Caenorhabditis elegans: one gene and its partners. The protein of the gene in region 1 interacts with the protein of each later gene in a pairwise test. Each region holds a gene or a part of one and is shown in the gene's direction. Other genes may lie near its edges.

Region 1 (3,128 bases):
CAACGAATGAAGTCAAAGAAAGCAAAGATTGTTGAAGAAAAGGCTGCTGCAGTTGCTGGACCTTTGAGAGAGTGAGTAGTGAGAAAATTAGGCCTTTATCGTTATTCAATTCAATTAATTTCAGGAAGAAGGAAAAATCGGAGAGGAAAGGTGCTAAAGATCAAACAAGACAGAAGAGTCAGATTCACAGACAACAGTGGTTCAAAAACAAGGTCGACGGCAAGAAGAAGGGTACTGGTGGTGCTGGAAAGAAGGGAGCCAACAAGGCCAAAGCAAGAAAGGGATAATCTATGTTCTTGTTTTTTATTCAAATTTGTTGATTTTGATTCGTTTATTTTTTTTGTTACTTTCTTTTTTATTCATCAAATTTTAACATTCAATAAATAAATGTTCTGTTAAGTAGAAAATGTTACTTTTCTTCATGAAATGATGTTTTAGTTCTCGATTGTGAATTTACCTGGGATAGGTTATTTTATTAAATTTGTTCAGAGTTTTATATAATCCCAATTATTTTTCTCTGGCATGTTTTTTTTTTCTCTGAATGTAAGAAAGCCAACATTGATTCGCGATTTTCAAATCTATGAAATTAATAGGCGGAGTTTTCTTTGCCAGATCCAGCAACTCGGCCATCTTTCAAACCAAGATAAGTGATTTTAGATCATTTAACAATTTGCCTGTCAAGACTTAATATTTTCTCAACTAGTAAAGTGCTGTTCCCATTTACTCAGCAATCTGTTTCTTCGAAAGTCACAAATCGGTAGTGTCTCAATTTCCAAGCGTGCTCCATCGCACTCCCTTTAAATTTTGTCATCTTTTCGGCGTTCTCATCATTTTTCAACCTTCAACAATATATTTTAGTCGAAACTTCATTAATTCAGCTTAAAATGGCTTTGAACTTCCTCTCATACGACGATGACTTTTGTGGATATTGCGGCGCCATCTTGGAACTACCGGCACAGGCTCCAGCGACGGTCTCCTGCAAAGTATGCTCAACTCGATGGGCTGTGAAAGGTTTCCTGCTTTTAAGATGAATATATTCTAATTTTAAAATGTTTTCAGAAAGAGTAGATCAAGTGGTTAGCCGTGTCGAAAAGATCTACGAACGAACGGTTGCTGATACAGATGGAATTGAAAATGACGAGTCAGCGGATGCTGTTGTTGATCATATTTGCACAAAGTAAGAATATTTCCGGGGATTTTGAAACTGAGAAAGACTGAAACTAATTTCCAACTTTAAGGTGCGGTCACTCAAAGGCATCATATTCTACTATGCAAACGAGATCTGCAGATGAAGGACAAACAGTATTCTATACATGCCTGAAATGCAAGAAGAAGGATATCGAATATTCTTGATAACCTTTCGAGTCTTTATTTTTCAAATCAGATTTTTATTTCTGTTGTTATATATTGTTGAATTTTTGTTTTTGTTTCCTGAATATTCCATTAAGTTTCTTTTTATTCGTTTTTTTTTTCATTTTATTGGTACACTGGTCAATAACCAGATTTCCTATCTTTATCGGTTTTCAAATTAATGGTTGATTTCCACTTTAAAATTTATGTTTAGATGTCTCGTGGAAGCAGCGCCGGATTCGATCGTCATATTACCATCTTCTCTCCAGAAGGACGTGTTTATCAGGTTATAAAATAATAGTTGAATGTTTATAACTTTCCATGCTTGCTTCCAGGTCGAGTATGCCTTCAAAGCAATCAACTCTACCAATCTGACGGCTGTCGCAGTCAAGGGAGCTGATGCAGCTGTCATTGCCGTTCAAAAGCGTGTTCCAGACAGTCTCATCGTCGCTGATACCGTCACTTCGGTTTATCAAATCTCTCAGTCTGTTGGATGCTGCGCCATTGGAATGATCCCGGATGCTAAATTCCAAATCAAGCGTGCACAGGGAGAAGCTGCTAGCTGGAAGTACAAGAACGGCTACGATATGCCATGCGAGCTTCTCGCCAAAAAGATGGCTGATCTCAACCAGTATTACACACAAAATGCGGAGATGCGTAGTTTGGGATGTGGTTAGTAGAAAAATTTCCGAATTCTCTAACTTCAATTATTACAATTACTCAATTTCAGCTCTTTTGTTCATTTCCTACGATGACGAGAAAGGACCAGAAGTTTATCGTGTTGACCCCGCTGGATACTACCGTGGTATGAAAGGAGTATCTGTTGGAGTGAAACAACTTCCAGCGACCTCATTCTTGGAAAAGAAAATTAAGAAGAAGTCCGAATTGACATCCACAGAAGCTATTGAACTCGCCATTGAGGCTCTTCAGACTTCATTGGGAATCGACGTTCGTTCCAAGGATCTTGAGGTTGTCGTTGTCACCAAGGATAACTCCAAATTCACCAAGCTAACCAGCGATCAGGTCGAACATCATCTCAATCAAATCGCCAACCGAGATTAAATATTCATCGACCTTTGTATTTAAATATTTCCCGTTTCAATTGATCCGGTACCCAAATTGAATTAAATACCTGGTTTCCCTTTTCTAAATTTATTTATTGTTTTCTTTACTCCCTGTTTCTCGGTCTTTTTTATCATTGCCCTCCGCCCCTTTCTCTTTTGAAACTATTTATTTATCACTAAAAATCATGATAAAATGATTTTTGAAACACTTCATATTATTCATGTTGACTTTGATGGTGGTTTCGCAATCCCTGTTATTTATTTTTTAGTACGAATTCATTGAAGAAAACTGCAAGTTAAAAAAATTATACATTCAAAGTTTTAACAGACCATCTATTAAAATGGATGGTGCAGATGCTGAAGAACATGGAGGATTCCTCTTTTTTGTGCTCGCTTCATCCGTAGTTTTTATTGTGCTCTTTTTCACAAGGTAATCGATATTTCACGATAGCTAAAACTATAATCTAAAATATTTCAGACGTTACTTTAAAGGAGGTCAATTCAATGAAAGAGTCTCTGCAAAGGGATTAGTAGCCGTTGTGACCGGTTCTAATTGTGGAATTGGATTCGAGACAGTTCGGGAACTTAATTTGAGGAAAGCTGATGTGAGTTACAGAACTAATTGCATTGTTATAATTAATTGCTAATTACTAATTACATAAATTGCATTTGTTTCTAAACAATGCTATCCATATTTAAGTTATCAAGAATAAT
Region 2 (3,532 bases), on another chromosome or scaffold:
TTTGTCTAAAACCTGTTATTAAACTTTTTAGATGAATACTGATAGAAGGCAACAAATGCTTGAATAGCTTTAGTAAAGTAGAATATTACAAAGATCTTGCTAATTAAAAAAAATTATATACAAAGATTTGACTCATTATCAATTGTCTGATAGTCAGATTTGCATGCCACATTTTGAAATCATATTCTTTTTATTTCTTAAGAAAGAAAAAAAAATTTAAGAACAACATGCAAGTATTTGTGTGTTGAAAACTAGGGTAAATCAAATGGAAGTGTTGGTAATATTGGCAAATGTCTGAATAACTTCTGTATTTAGGAATTACAACAAATATTGGTGGGATTTCGTTTGTATTTTTGGTTTCAATAGATCAATGAAGCTACTTAAGTGAACGATTTAAAATAATTAAATTTCAGCCGAGTGTCATCGTCAGTCTAGAGTACATTTTATGGATTTTAATTTTCACTTTAAGGATAAAGAGGTGCCACAGTTGACAATAAAACGGATTTAATCTGGATATCAATTCATGTTCGGACGCTGCGACCGCCAAATAAATATATTACGTTTTTAATACTTCAATTCAGTCTTTCCTTTGTCTCTTTTTAAATCCTAGTTTGAAGAGCCCCATACATATAAACTTAACTTCCATTAGCTATTTCATGGTTCTATAAATCTAGGGTACCAGTTTTTGTGACCTTATATTTTGGTACCTTCTCAATCTGCCGTTTCAGGGAGAGGGAGACAATAAGCAGACGATCTCATAGAGCCTTTCTGGATATCGATCCAAATCCAGACGCTGTAATGAACTACCTAACATTCACTCTCATTCATGTTGTTCTCAATTCATTCTTCTCATTTTATCCAGGTCCCATTCGGTACGTTTATTTTTTTGTTCTTATTTTGATTGTTTTAATTTTCTGAGATATCCCAGTTGCAGTCCTAGTAAGTAATTGTGTATTTGTATTAATTCCTTTAAAAAATCTTCAACCGAAGACGAAAAGAGAATAGAGCCCTCTATTTCAGAATACTGACATTTCTAGTGTAAATAAAATAGTGTAAAAAAGTATTACTTTGGTTTTTCATGTACCGGATTTTTCCTGATCGTATTGCACGTATATCTGATTTTAAATAGCTTATATGGCCTTCGAGACTGCTAGATTTTCAATTAAAAACTGGAATAGCATATTTATAGCCAAAATTAATTTTTGAAACTTGAAAGTGATAAAATTTTTTTACATCTTTGAATGTTAACATTTTTTTCTTTCTTAAGGTTTGAGTGGGATGAAAGATTGATAAAACCTGCGAGATTTGTATCGATGGTACTGAATTAACAATAGTGGGAGCTAGATTAATTGGAATTGGAAATTTAGTTTCTTTCAACGTTTACAAAATGCCCATTTTAGTATAGCCATAGATTTGGAGTCAACTACATTCTGAATGACTTCTCTCGATCCAATCAATATATTATGTTCTTCGACAGAAGATCACCATACAATGCAACGCTTTTCCAAAATTGTGAATATCGATCCATATTTGGACGCTGTAAATTCTCACCATCGTTCTCTCTCACTGTTTTTTCGATCCAATTACTCATTCTCACCTAACATTCTCAAAAGGTGCATCTTTCCTTTTTTCATTTATTTATTTGCTCTAGTATTTTCTACTGCAGTTTCACTAAACGTTTCTTTTCAATTAAATATTTTTCAGAACTGAAACTATGTTTGCTGAAAATCCATTCTTCACTCCCACCGAGTCCAAGTTGAAATCGGAGATCGCACTTCTTCAAATGAAATTGGATGACGAACGATTTGATCATCAGAAAACGTAAGTTGTTTGAACTCTAGGACAACGTGCAACCTGTTATATAGATTATATTGTACTAACCCATTCTTAATATGTTCAATTTCAGACGACGAGAGCTTGCCAATTCTCGACTTGAGATCTCTGATCTGAAAGGGGAAGCGAAGTGCCATGATTCGGAACTCAATCGTCTCTACACAATAATCAATAATTTGGAAAAGAAGGTTGAAGATTTGAATGGAGAACATCAAAAGTCATTGGAAAAATTGAAAGAACGTCTTCATGAAAAGGATGCTTTTATCGAGGCTTGTGAAGAATTCTATGATGAGAAGAAGATCAATGTGAACAAAATGACATTGATGAAACAAGAAATGGAATTGAAGAGAATCAAAAAGAACTTTGAAGAATACAAGGAAAGAATGACTGAAGTTGAGAAAAATTTGAACGAATTTATCAAAAGACAATCGGCCATTTGTATGGGAGTGAGATATGAATTGAATATGGAAAAGGATTCGAGAGAGAGATATTTCAAAGAAGCTCAACAATTGAAACAAGAGAAAGATGTATTGGTACATGAAATCAATGAAAGAGAAGTCAGAATTTTGTGTCTGAGAAGTGATATTCTTACATTGAAATCTGAAAACAACGACACCTCTAAGGAACTTGATGAAATGAAAAATGGAACCAAAGCTTTGAAACATGAACTTGAAGAGACCAAGAAAATGAAATCCGAAGCCTTGTCGAAATATGAAGAATCTCAAAAAGAGTTCGAACAGTTCAACTTGAAGTTCCAAAGATTGTGCACAAAGTTCTACGAGGAACGTGTCTCTTCTCAGACAACTTCACCTAAAATGAAAGAACATCTGGCATCTGCTAAGAAACGATTGTCTGCTATCAAGGAAACACTCCAAAATGAAGAAGATTTTGATGAAACCGGAGAAGTAACCAATTATCAATAATTTAATATCACCCAATTACTTTTTCCGTGTTAATTTTTCTTCTTTTAGCTACTATCGCTTTTTTAGCATTTTTTCGATTTGATACTATTGCTTTTACTTTACCATTTCCATTGCACTTTTTCGTTTGTTGTAATACGAAACAATACGGCTTAATTTTTCAACGCCTCGGCATTCTTTCAATCCATCTTAAAATGTTACTCTCTTAATTATTCAATAAATGTTTCATTAAATATCGGAATCACTTTTTAACGTGGATTTTTATAACCAAACAGGTGTACGAAAAGTTTACTATCAATTTTAAATAACAGGCAGAATCAGAGAACTTCACATCGAAACACAACATGAAAAGTAAAACACACGACTAGCGATAAAAACTGTTGGAAAAATCAATCAAATTCAAGAGGAATTTGAAAAGTACGTGCTGAAGGTGGTAGATTAGTGAAAGCTATTACAATATTTCCAACAATTGTGGTTTCATCTTCCATGTTCTTTTTTGAGTGAAATCGAGATGAGTTTTTTGAGAGAGTACTCTAGAATCTGTAAAAGTCGATGATGTAGCGAAAAAGTGCAAATATCATTTTTGCATGAAAAACTAAAACTGATTAGATAAGAAATGACAACAATGGTTAATGATGTTGACCTATGCTCTGCTTGTATACCGTGATTAGTGTCTTTGAAATCAATTCCATAAAATAAAATACGTGAGTGTGAGTTCAAATATACCATTAGAAGACAGTTCAGACCTAGAAAATGTTTTGCAACCAGTTTTGTATATT
Region 3 (6,926 bases), on another chromosome or scaffold:
TTTGGTTTTTTCAGAGTATTGTCCGCAACTATTGACCGTCGATTTTTCAAGTTGAAAAAATTAAAAAAAAATGTTGGCAATCTTTTCTTATTTGAACCCGTTTTTGGACTGCAATTTAATTATAAATAAAGTTAAATATTTAACAATAATCACAAAGATTGCCATCAGATTATCTAGAACCACAGCAAATTCTGAATACGTAAAAACCGCACCAAACCCGCTTCAAAAGCGCTCCAAAAGCGCTCTAAAACCGCTCGCAGAACATTAGAGTAAATTATTTGGCAGAACATTAGAGTAAATTATTTGGCAGAACATTAGAGTAAATTTTTTGGCAGAACATTAGAGTAAATTAATTGGCATATGATTTTGCCATACTTTTGAATTTTTGAAAGAATCAGCTTTTATATATTTTTATCAATTTTTAAAAAAATACTTCCGTACAAGCTATTATACTTTGATTGGCATTTTCTGGTATTTTTGACTATGCTGAAGAGTTTTATGAAATAAAAAAGAATGACTCCATATGATTTTCCCATACTTTTGAATTTTTGAAAAAAATCAGCTTTTATATATTTTTATCAATTTTTAAAAAAATACTTCCGTACAAGCTATTATACTTTGATTGGCATTTTCTGGTATTTTTGACTATGCTGAAGAGTTTTATGAAATAAAAAAGAATGACTCCATATGATTTTCCCATACTTTTGAATTTTTGAAAAAAATCAGCTTTTATATATTTTTATCAATTTTTAAAAAAATACTTCCGTACAAGCTATTATACTTTGATTGGCATTTTCTGGTATTTTTGACTATGCTGAAGAGTTTTATGAAATAAAAAAGAATGACTCCATATGATTTTCCCATACTTTTGAATTTTAGAAAAAATCAGCTTTTATATATTTTTATCAATTTTTAAAAAAATACTTCCGTACAAGCTATTATACTTTGATTGGCATTTTCTGGTATTTTTGACTATGCTGAAGAGTTTTATGAAATAAAAAAGAATGACTCCATATGATTTTCCCATACTTTTGAATTTTTGAAAAAATCAGCTTTTATTTATTTTTATCAATTTTTAAAAAAATACTTCCGTACAAGCTATTATACTTTGATTGTCATTTTCTGGTATTTTTGACTATGCTGAAGAGTTTTATATTTACTCATAATGGCAGAACATTAGAGTAAATATATAGAATAAAGACATTACATTTTTTTTTAATGCAAGATCAAAAAATTGTGCAATCTACATCCACTTGCTGAGCAAAAAATGCACAAAAAGTTCCGTGAAAAAATTATAAAAATCAAGAGATACAATTTCTTCGGTTTCGGGCTCTTTCATTTTCAAATCATTTGAATTTTTTTTGCAATGAGGCACAATGGAAGTAATTCGAAGTGATACGAGAGCGCTGGCTTGCCTTATCAGTGATTTTTTCGTTCAAACTTTATCACTATGTTTAAATAAAACCAAGCATTTCATTATTTGTTTGCCTCTTTTTCAAAGTTACTTTTACCAATAGCAATTCAATTTTTCAATGTTTCCAGTTCAAAAGTTCCTCAAATTTTCAGCCTAAAACATGGAAACGAGGCTTCTTGTCTTGAAATATGATATATTGAATCGGGAAGCTATTTGTTTGAACCGTGAAACCCATGAACTTCTTCACGCAAACCTTGTGGAAAGTGTACAGTAAGTTTTATTTCATGTTCTTTCCTGCCTGCCTGCCTGCCTGCCTACCTACTTTCCTGCCTAGCCAATTTTTTGAGAGAAAAATTTGCTGATTGCGCGTTGAGTGAGGTGCTTGGTGCATCAGAGTTCGACGCTCGAAACCGGTGACTCATTTTTCAATAATTTGGTGAAAGTTTAACTTACAACTTTGAACCCTAAAAAACTTGTGTGGCAATCGGCAGGTGGTTGCCGATTGCCAAAAACTTTAACTTTAGATATATGGAGCGTTTAAAAATTTGCAAAAAATGTGGAAAAAATGTGCAAAAAATGTGGAAAAAATGTGCAAAAAATGTGCAAAAATGTGCATAAAATGTGCCAAAAATGTGGAAAATACCAAATTTTTATTGAAATTTTCGAAAAATCTAAACGTTATTGGAGTGTTACAATAAAGTTTCAGGCCACAAATTGGCCAATTTCTGGCTGTCGAAAATCTGAAAATTGTTCAAATTGACGGTGTCTGCTTCATAAGTCCTGAGTGCGGAACCATAGTTATCGAACCGCCGGCTCCGGAAGATTGTGTCATATTGCCAAAGGAAAAAACCGATGTTGTCATGTTTAAAAGTTGGATTGGATTCAGTTCGGATCCAAGTCATCTCACTTATGATCGGAATATTGGATACGCCGATTGGTATGGTCCCGTCAATTGTTCACAGTTTAAAGCAAAAAACACTAAAGTCGCATTTTTTAAATATTTAATCGCAGTGTTAGTTCATTTATTATCAGAAGTTGAATAATTAATTTTTACCACGTTTAGAAATGACCTAGATTATAAAAATACAGGCGAATGTCTAATGAAAGCTGTTCAACTAGTAGGAGTAATTGATAATCGAGATGCTGCGGAAGTGCGTTTGAAAATGATGGAATTTGAAAGGAAACGAATTGCAGATATTCAGAGAACAACGTGAGTTTTTTTTTTCATCCTGTTTAAAAAGACACTGTTAAAAAGCACTCCTATGGTTCCAAAATGGCAAAAAATCATAGTAAAACTTTTTTTTTGGAAATTTTTAGTTTATGGGGTAATTCAAATAGTGGCGGAAAATTAAAAAGTGCAGAAAAATTACTGTGTTAAAATACATTTTAAAAAACATGTTTTTTTTATACAGCTGTGACGTCATGAATGCATTTAAATACATGTTGCAACATTACTTGAATAACTCCATTACTGTAAAAAAAATGAAAATTGCTCAGTTTTTGCCACTCAAAAATTTTGGAAGTCGGCCGAAAAAAGGTTGTTCCTACAATTTCTATATTTTAATATTGTTTTTTATTTTTCGTTTTAAAACATTCTAGGGGTCGGAACATGCGACATCGCACTGGATTTCCTTTAAAGCTCATACTCAAAAATTTGACAATTTGCCAAAACTTTGACTGAAATTTTTTTTTAATCTAAAATTTTTTGGAATATGTTTATTTAGACAAAACTCCCACTGACGCTACTCCACTTTTAAAATAATTGCAGAAAACAAACTCGTTTGATTGAAACTGTTGCCTATCCTATCCTGCCGTCGGCACATCAACCATCTTCAAATCATTCCTACACTGGAAGATCTTCGTGTGATAGTCTGAGACCACAACCGGTACCGGCGGCAAGAAAGTAAGATATCATTTCTATGCATAGACGCCTACCTTCTGCCTACCTACCTGAGTTCCTGGTTGTGCGTATTTGTATAACTTATGGTGTTTGTTTGAAAATAACTTTTATTTGACTTGGAACAACCGTGAAAGTGTTTAAAATTTGACCGAATTTTCTAAATTGCCGGTGAAAAATTGCCGCGCGCCTCTGATCATAACTACTCGTCGCAATCAAGCTTCAATTTCAGGTTAAGTGAACAACCGCAAACTGTACAAAATCAGGCTCCCTATAGAGAGCAAATCAACCAGCAACGCTCGGTAACTAACAGCATTTATGGAGAGTTCAGTGGTGTTGGACGTACTGATCAACCGCTTGAAACTGCAAATTCGCGAGGCTCAACTGAATATTATTCTGGCAGAAGTTCCAGCTCATCAGATCAAGTTATAAGAAAGTAAGAAATCATTGAAACAACTGAAAAGTTTACCCAATTTACAGTGAGCCCCAACTCCCAAATCCTGCACCAATACTTCCAGAATCAATGGGAATGGTCACGTATGAAAATGGAATAATGCAAATTGTATATCTTCGAAGCGTTCAAAAAGCGGCGATTCATTATTGGTACTTATTTTGGTACCTGTTTTTCAGCATGCATAAATTGACGATTTCAGGTCCAAACATCAAATTACAACTTCTCTGGGAAGTGTTTTCAATTGTAGTTTTAAGCCTATTCCAGTTCAAGCAACTACTCATTGGGCACCATTTGAGATTACGGTAGGCACAACTATGCAATCTTTAAGTGATTTCTCTTTTCAGGCAATAAATAATGTTAACAATGAAAAAAATGAGGTGAAAACCGTTGGAAAAGAATGTTTCGCATTGTTCAAAGTCGATCTTTCTCGGCCTGAAGGAAAGTTTAGTAAATGGACAACGATCGGAGGAAATCCGATTTTCAGCTGCGAAATTGTTGGTTATGTTATGTTGGCACATAGTGTGAGTTCACAATATTTTAGCATTATGAATTGATGTAATTGATGTTGTGTCAAATTTGCCGAATTTGCCGTTTGTCGAGCACGGCAAATATTGAAACTCAAATGAAAAAATTTTTATAAAAATTTTGTTCAAATCTCTAATGGTTTTGATCAGAGACTTAATGAAACAAAACATAACATCGTGTTTCTTTTATTTTTCAATTCAAGAAATTCACACGCGTATTAGCCAAAAATCGAACAAAAACCAGTAAACTTAGTTTAATCCATTAATTTTGGCAATTTTTAAGCTCCAAAAAATATTGCGATTTAGCGAGTCACGGCAAATTTTCCGAATTTTCCGTACTAGGCAAATATTTAAAAAGTCGATTTGCCGAAATTGCCGAACACAACTAGTGTGAAACTTTTGAAACCTTGAAAGAAAATAATTCTTCCTTTCTCAGGTACTAGGTCCCCAACAAAATCAGCTATCCATTCTGAACGTGGCACAGAATTACTACAACCGGAAGGTGGCCGAGAACATTTGTTGTTTCTGTCGATTTGTGCGTAGGCAAGTACCACGAATGATGGTCGATTCTCATTGGATTTCTGAAGATGAAGAAGTGGAAGTTTTTATATGGGAATTGGTGGAAATAGTTGGTGCCAGCGAATTATATAGAAAGAGACAAGAACAGTTGGAGATTGGAAACGTAAGCATTTGATCTCATGAAAAACTTTTTAAAGGTGGTACAGTCGAAATTTTTATTGCTATATGATAATTTGCACTTTTTCAAATTTAAAAAATTCCCGTTTCACCACTTCTTCAAGAGTTATTTTAGACAGTTCTTTTTCCCTTTCTTTCAAAGTTAGACTTGAAATTGTCTGAATAAACCTAATTTTATAATGAAACTTCTTAAAAACTTCTCAAAAAATAGTTATGGCGGCTCAAAAAATGACCTAAAATTAGTTGAAATTTGAAATTTGGCCAAATTGTGAAGCGGCTGGAAACTTTTTTTAAATCACCGTCTAATTTTAGGTAAACAAATTAATTATCTATTTAATTATCAAGTTTAAACTAACTTTAGGTGTAGTCGAATTTTTTATTTCTATATAATAATTTTCATTTTTTCAAATTCAAAAAATTCCCGTTTCACCACTTCTTCAAGAATTGTATTTTTTAATCTGTCATTGATGTGTTGCTAAAAACTTTACATTTTCATTAGAATTTTGATAAAAACTGACTAAACACGTTACAAAAATGCTAAACATTTCATATTTCACACGGAAAAAGTTTACAACCTCATTTTTGGAATTGTGACGTCACAGTTATTTTGAACAACTTGTTTTAGTTTCGTTCCGATTTTTTTCAAAGTTAGGTTAAAAAATTTAGACTCGAAATTGTCTGAAAACACCGAAATTCATGATGAAACTTCTTGAAAATGTCTCAAAAAAACGCTATGATGGCTCAAAAATGACCTAAAATTAGTTGAAATTTGAAATTGCTATATAATAATTTCCACTTTTTCAAATTTAAAAAATTCCCGTTTCACCACTTCTTCAAGAATTGTTTTTTTTTAAATGTCATTGATCCGCTTGTAGCTTCACCATGTACTTATTGGAATATTTTTAATACAAAATCCTTATTTCCCAAACTCTGCTTTTAAAGAATAATCTAACTTCCAGTTAGGAGACACTGCTGATAATGTGAAAAGACACAATGACGATATTGAGATGCAAAAGAAACGTGCTCAACAAGAACATTTTGCTCAGCAACAACGACCAGCAGGCAGTTCAAATAGTTATCAAACAGAAAATGCACAACAACACAGCATGTCAAACAACATGCAATATTATCACTCGCAGGCGCCTCCAGTATCTTCCAGATCTTCAATTAGTTTGGGTGAAACTGCTGAATTCAAAAATAAATTGGAACGAACCAATGATATGATGGAATCTCTGTGCGATGCGATTAAAAAGTTTTTGGACAACAGGCAGTTGAAGGAAACACTGAGAGGTTATAATCCGAGAAGACTACAAGCATTGGAAGAAAAATTGAAAGAGTGCTCGGAGCATTTGGAAAATAACTAGTTATGTGAAAAGTTATTATTTGAAAAGATAAACGAGTTTATGCTATGAAGAACGTTGTTGCACTATTCTAGATGTATCAGCCGAAATTGCCATTTGCCGGAAAATTACAAAACCGGCAAATGCCGGAATTGCCGTTTGCCGGAAATTTTGTAAGCCGTCAATTGCCGAAAATTTACAAAACCGGCAAATGCCGGAATTGTCATTTGCCGTACATTGCCGTACATTGCCGAAATCGCAAATTTCCGGAAAATTACAAAACCGGCACTTGCCGGAGAAACCGTTTTCCGAAAATTTACAAAACCAGCACTTCCCGGAATTGCCGTTTTCCGAAAATTTTTTAAACCGGCAACTGCAGAAAATTTACAAAACCGGCAAATGTCGAAATTGCCAATTGCCGAAAATGAACAGAACCTACAATTGTCAAAATTGCCGATTGCCGAAAGTTTTCATTTTTCGGCAATTTCTGACATTTTGAATTTATCTTAATTTCGAAGGAATTGAGTAGTCTGGGAGTTTGTTAGAAAATCTGAAGCGGTCGAATTAAATTTGAATGTATTTATTTAACTTTGAAAGTGAT
Region 4 (3,707 bases), 1.4 Mb from region 1:
CTTTTATTTTAATTGCATCCCAACTTTATTTAGCCCTTATACAGGGAACCAGAGCTTGTTTCTTATCATTCGCCCCCGGAATCCTTCCTCCATTCTCACATGTAAAATAAATACGTTTGTCCAGAAAATCACAAACAACATGCACAACTGAATAGTTCCGGCTGAACAAAAGACTGGATTAGAAGTATAAATATCCAAATAGAGAAAAAAACTTATCAAACTTTTAGTTGTGTGTCCACTTCTTGTTTTATTATAGGCTCTTTGTCTTTTTTGTTTCTTATCTTTGTGCCGATAAAGAACTGAAACCAAAAGTGTCAATGGACTGTCAAAAACCACTTTTCAAGACCTTGTTTAGTGGCTCCACTTTGAATAAATAGCTGAAATTCCGAGTTTGTATTTTTTTCAAGAATTCAAAATTTTGTTATATTTACAGCTTTAGGGTGTGTAAGTGTTGACATTTCAAAACTTGTGCGAGAATTCTCAAGAGAATTTTAATTTTTTTTGTAGTTATTGCATTATAGTTTCAACGATTTTGGCATACTTTCTTAAAGGCGCACAGAGTTATTCAGATAGGTCTCGATGAGCAAAAAAGTTTATGGTAGTTTCTTTTAAAATGTTTATTTTGAAAAATTATTTAAAACAGTTTTAACAAAAGTAAAGAAAGGCATAAAATTCACCTTAAAAAACTTTATGCTTCAGATCGAGCTGAACATTATAATATGATCAATTCCAAGCCATATAAAAATGAAAATCCTAAGAGAAGAAATGAAAAAAACTTTAAAATTTACGACCAACCTTCGAACCTATCACCTCACCCATCAAAAAACAGGTTTATCTATCAATTTTCAATTTTAACACAGAGATCCCAAACCATTCACATGTTCTTCTTATTCAAGTCAGACCACCTCAATGGGTGTTACACTTTAGATTGTCCTTTTTATCTTTATAACCTTGTTCTCTTTTTGTATTCTTTATATCATTCGGCAACGAACGAATATTTTGCTCTCTTTTATTAATTTTGCGTTTTTTTCGCTAAAAATACGGTACACGGTCTCGAAACGACACATTTTTGTTAAATAAAAATTGTGTGCACCTTTAAAGAGTACTGTAATTTCAAATTTTTTTTTCCACTTAATTTTCATCGATTTTGCATAGTTTTTCAATAAAATTGTATTTATTCGATAAGAATAACGCAAAAAATGAGTTTGAAATTACAGTTCTCTTTAAAGGAGCACACCTTTTTGTTATAATAAAATTGTGTCGTGTCAAGACCTTGGACCGTAGTTTTGTCCAAAAGTCGCATAATTTCGCGTCTGGGTAATATTTTTCTTCAGACAAAAATTCAAATTTCAAAACTTGTTTTCATTAAATTCCATAACATTTTTGTTTCTTATCACTATACGATTCGCGAAGAAAAAAAAACAACAATGGGAGAAAACAAATTATGCAAAAATAACACGAGTGGGGGTGGAGCCATGTGCTCTGCGTTTTCTTTCTCCTCATTTCTCATTCTTTCCCCTCTTATTTTATGCGCCCTGCTCAAAATCGATTTCGGCTCTCCCACGTATGTTCCTGGGAGCTCATGAATACAAAGAGCATTTAGAATAATGGTAGATCTTTGTTTTTCATACGTGAATTTTGACACTTTTTCAGTTACTTTTTTGCCTACAAACCGCATACGTATTCGTTATCATAGGTAATATGACTGATATGACGATCAATTTTCCTCCTATTCTCTGCCAACACAAAGGTGTAACAGATGCAACGTCGCGCCGCCCTATCGCCTTTTGCATTCATTGAAACTGGCGCCACCAAATACTAACCGCCTATTAACTTTAATCTTGTACAGTTCTTTAACCATTCATCTTCCATTTTTATTCATCCGTGATTTTTTTTTTTAAAGTTAATTTTTATTTTCATTTCAGCGGAGTAAGCCATCTCACAATGCCAGTTCCACAATCCGAGCAACTCGTAAAGCTTTTGGAAGTTCAGAGTGTAAAGCTGAATGAAGTGCAAAACAATTTGAGACTGAATCGATATAAAGCTCAACAAGATATTCGTCAAGCAATCGCTGCAATGATTGTATCACTTAGAGAACGCGAAAGACAACTTATTGGAGATCTAGATAGAGCATTCTATAAAAAAGAAGGAAAACTCGTGAACCAGATGGATATTGTTGCCGAAGAACTTGGTGAGTGACGAAATTTATTTGCTTTCAATTATTTTTCACATTTCTCTTCATTTCAGCCGCTTGTAATCTTGGGCTCCCTGCTGGCAATTCTATTCTGAATGTGGATGATGACGTACGTCTTGAGCTGGATCTTCCGATCTCAGACATCAGAGCTATGCACGAACGTATTCTCAAGATGGGAGAAATTCGAATTTCACAAAATTGTCAACGACTTCCAATGAAGAAGGTCGGACGTACTTTGCCTCTTGATATGGAATCATATGACGACGACAACATGTGGCTTTTGACCAAGAAGAGCAAAACTGACACATCTCCTGAAACTCCACACGAAGTTGATACTGTGAAGAGTTGGCTGAGCCGTCTACCAGATGGAAATGCTGCTCTCAACGTCGACTTATCGTCTTTTGTAAGCGGAGAATCGAAAAGTGAAAGCTCGGAGAGCAATGCAAGTTCATTTGAACTTCTAAATGAAGTGGCAATGTGCTTGAAGTATACTGCCAACGCCGACAAGGCATTCCGTGATAGAATTGAAACTATTCACAACGAGCCAGCTAGTAAATGGTTACTTCATTCCGATGAAGAAAGCTCTTCAACACACCTACCACGCCCTCCAGTTCCAGCAAGATTCCGAGATGATGGTGAAGACAACGAGGATGATTTTGAGAGAGAGGACATCAATACCGAATGGTGAGTATTTAATATTAGTTTTGTGGAAAGCCAACTAGAAATCTATATTGCCACTTTAAAAAATTTCATTTATTTTCAGCTCATCTGACTCATTCAAATTCATCGATGTTATCAGCAAACTTCAAAATTCCGAAAATTCCAAATGGCTACAAGCACAACCAACAACTATAGAAATGAATGAAGATGAAGATCAAAGCCCTGCCGCAAATCACAGAAGATTCGTTCAGAAGTATTGCCAATAATGGTGTTTTTTTTTAATTTCATTTTTGAGCCAGTTCATCAATAATAAACAAATTGTACAGTTTATCAATTCATGAATTCAAATGTTCAAGTGCTCCAGGTTTATAGTCGACAGATTCCAAGATAATGTTTCCGTCGACAGTTCGGACTGGAAGAGAACTTTGTTGATAAGAATTCGGAAAAGTACACTTACCTCGAAATTGCTGATTAATGTTTTGTGCCCGACTGGCTTCTAATATTTGTTGAAGCAAATCAACTACACTTTTTGCATCTCCACTCATTTCAATTACTTCTGACTCCCTTGGAGGGATTGTTTGAGAGAAAACTTCTGATATAATTAGAAGAAAAAGAATTGAAAAAAGTAGAAATCTATGCATTTGAATATTCAATAGTGAATAATAAATAATAAACAAGTATACCTCCAAAAAGTGAGGGATTTTTCAATTTTATGGGATGATCATAAAACTAGATTTCATAATTTCAAAGTGAAAGTGAAAATGTCCAAATTGTACCTAATATTATTGTACTGTACCGGAAATACATAACAGAAACACATGTTTTTTTTCGTTTTTATTTTGTCCATTCTTCA

Evidence for each region.
Region 2: the proteins of pas-1 (region 1) and vet-1 interact in a two-hybrid assay, tested with the Caenorhabditis elegans proteins (3 studies listed by BioGRID).
Region 3: the proteins of pas-1 (region 1) and F52G2.3 interact in a two-hybrid assay, tested with the Caenorhabditis elegans proteins (3 studies listed by BioGRID).
Region 4: the proteins of pas-1 (region 1) and W07G4.5 interact in a two-hybrid assay, tested with the Caenorhabditis elegans proteins (3 studies listed by BioGRID).

Annotation. Positions count from the first base shown.
Region 1 is NC_003283.11:14,421,055-14,424,182, reverse strand, and holds pas-1 (Proteasome subunit alpha type-6), read left to right. Parts: upstream 1-1,564; coding exon 1,565-1,636; intron 1,637-1,685; coding exon 1,686-2,022; intron 2,023-2,080; coding exon 2,081-2,412; 3' UTR 2,413-2,617; downstream 2,618-3,128. Other genes in the region: rrsr-1 (Ribosome biogenesis regulatory protein homolog), read left to right, coding at 1-71, 125-287; rpoa-12 (DNA-directed RNA polymerase subunit), read left to right, coding at 885-1,011, 1,060-1,177, 1,239-1,353; dhs-22 (DeHydrogenases, Short chain), read left to right, coding at 2,756-2,844, 2,893-3,019. UniProt on the Caenorhabditis elegans protein: The proteasome is a multicatalytic proteinase complex which is characterized by its ability to cleave peptides with Arg, Phe, Tyr, Leu, and Glu adjacent to the leaving group at neutral or slightly basic pH.
Region 2 is NC_003279.8:6,200,249-6,203,780, reverse strand, and holds vet-1 (Very Early Transcript), read left to right. Parts: upstream 1-1,704; 5' UTR 1,705-1,714; coding exon 1,715-1,821; intron 1,822-1,906; coding exon 1,907-2,756; 3' UTR 2,757-2,983; downstream 2,984-3,532.
Region 3 is NC_003282.8:13,542,871-13,549,796, reverse strand, and holds F52G2.3 (RSD-2 N-terminal domain-containing protein), read left to right. Parts: upstream 1-1,566; 5' UTR 1,567-1,574; coding exon 1,575-1,684; intron 1,685-2,120; coding exon 2,121-2,426; intron 2,427-2,477; coding exon 2,478-2,624; intron 2,625-2,741; exon of another isoform or gene 2,742-2,762; intron 2,763-3,182; coding exon 3,183-3,317; intron 3,318-3,543; coding exon 3,544-3,747; intron 3,748-3,791; coding exon 3,792-3,914; intron 3,915-3,964; coding exon 3,965-4,067; intron 4,068-4,109; coding exon 4,110-4,286; intron 4,287-4,725; coding exon 4,726-4,971; intron 4,972-5,449; exon of another isoform or gene 5,450-5,474; intron 5,475-5,849; exon of another isoform or gene 5,850-5,870; intron 5,871-5,944; coding exon 5,945-6,349; 3' UTR 6,350-6,392; downstream 6,393-6,926. Other genes in the region: Y45F10B.13 (Chitin-binding type-2 domain-containing protein), read left to right, coding at 15-35.
Region 4 is NC_003283.11:13,046,055-13,049,761, forward strand, and holds W07G4.5 (RILP-like protein 1), read left to right. Parts: upstream 1-1,925; 5' UTR 1,926-1,944; coding exon 1,945-2,191; intron 2,192-2,247; coding exon 2,248-2,878; intron 2,879-2,957; coding exon 2,958-3,120; 3' UTR 3,121-3,184; downstream 3,185-3,707. Other genes in the region: W07G4.8 (TonB-dependent receptor), read right to left, coding at 3,190-3,266, 3,312-3,495.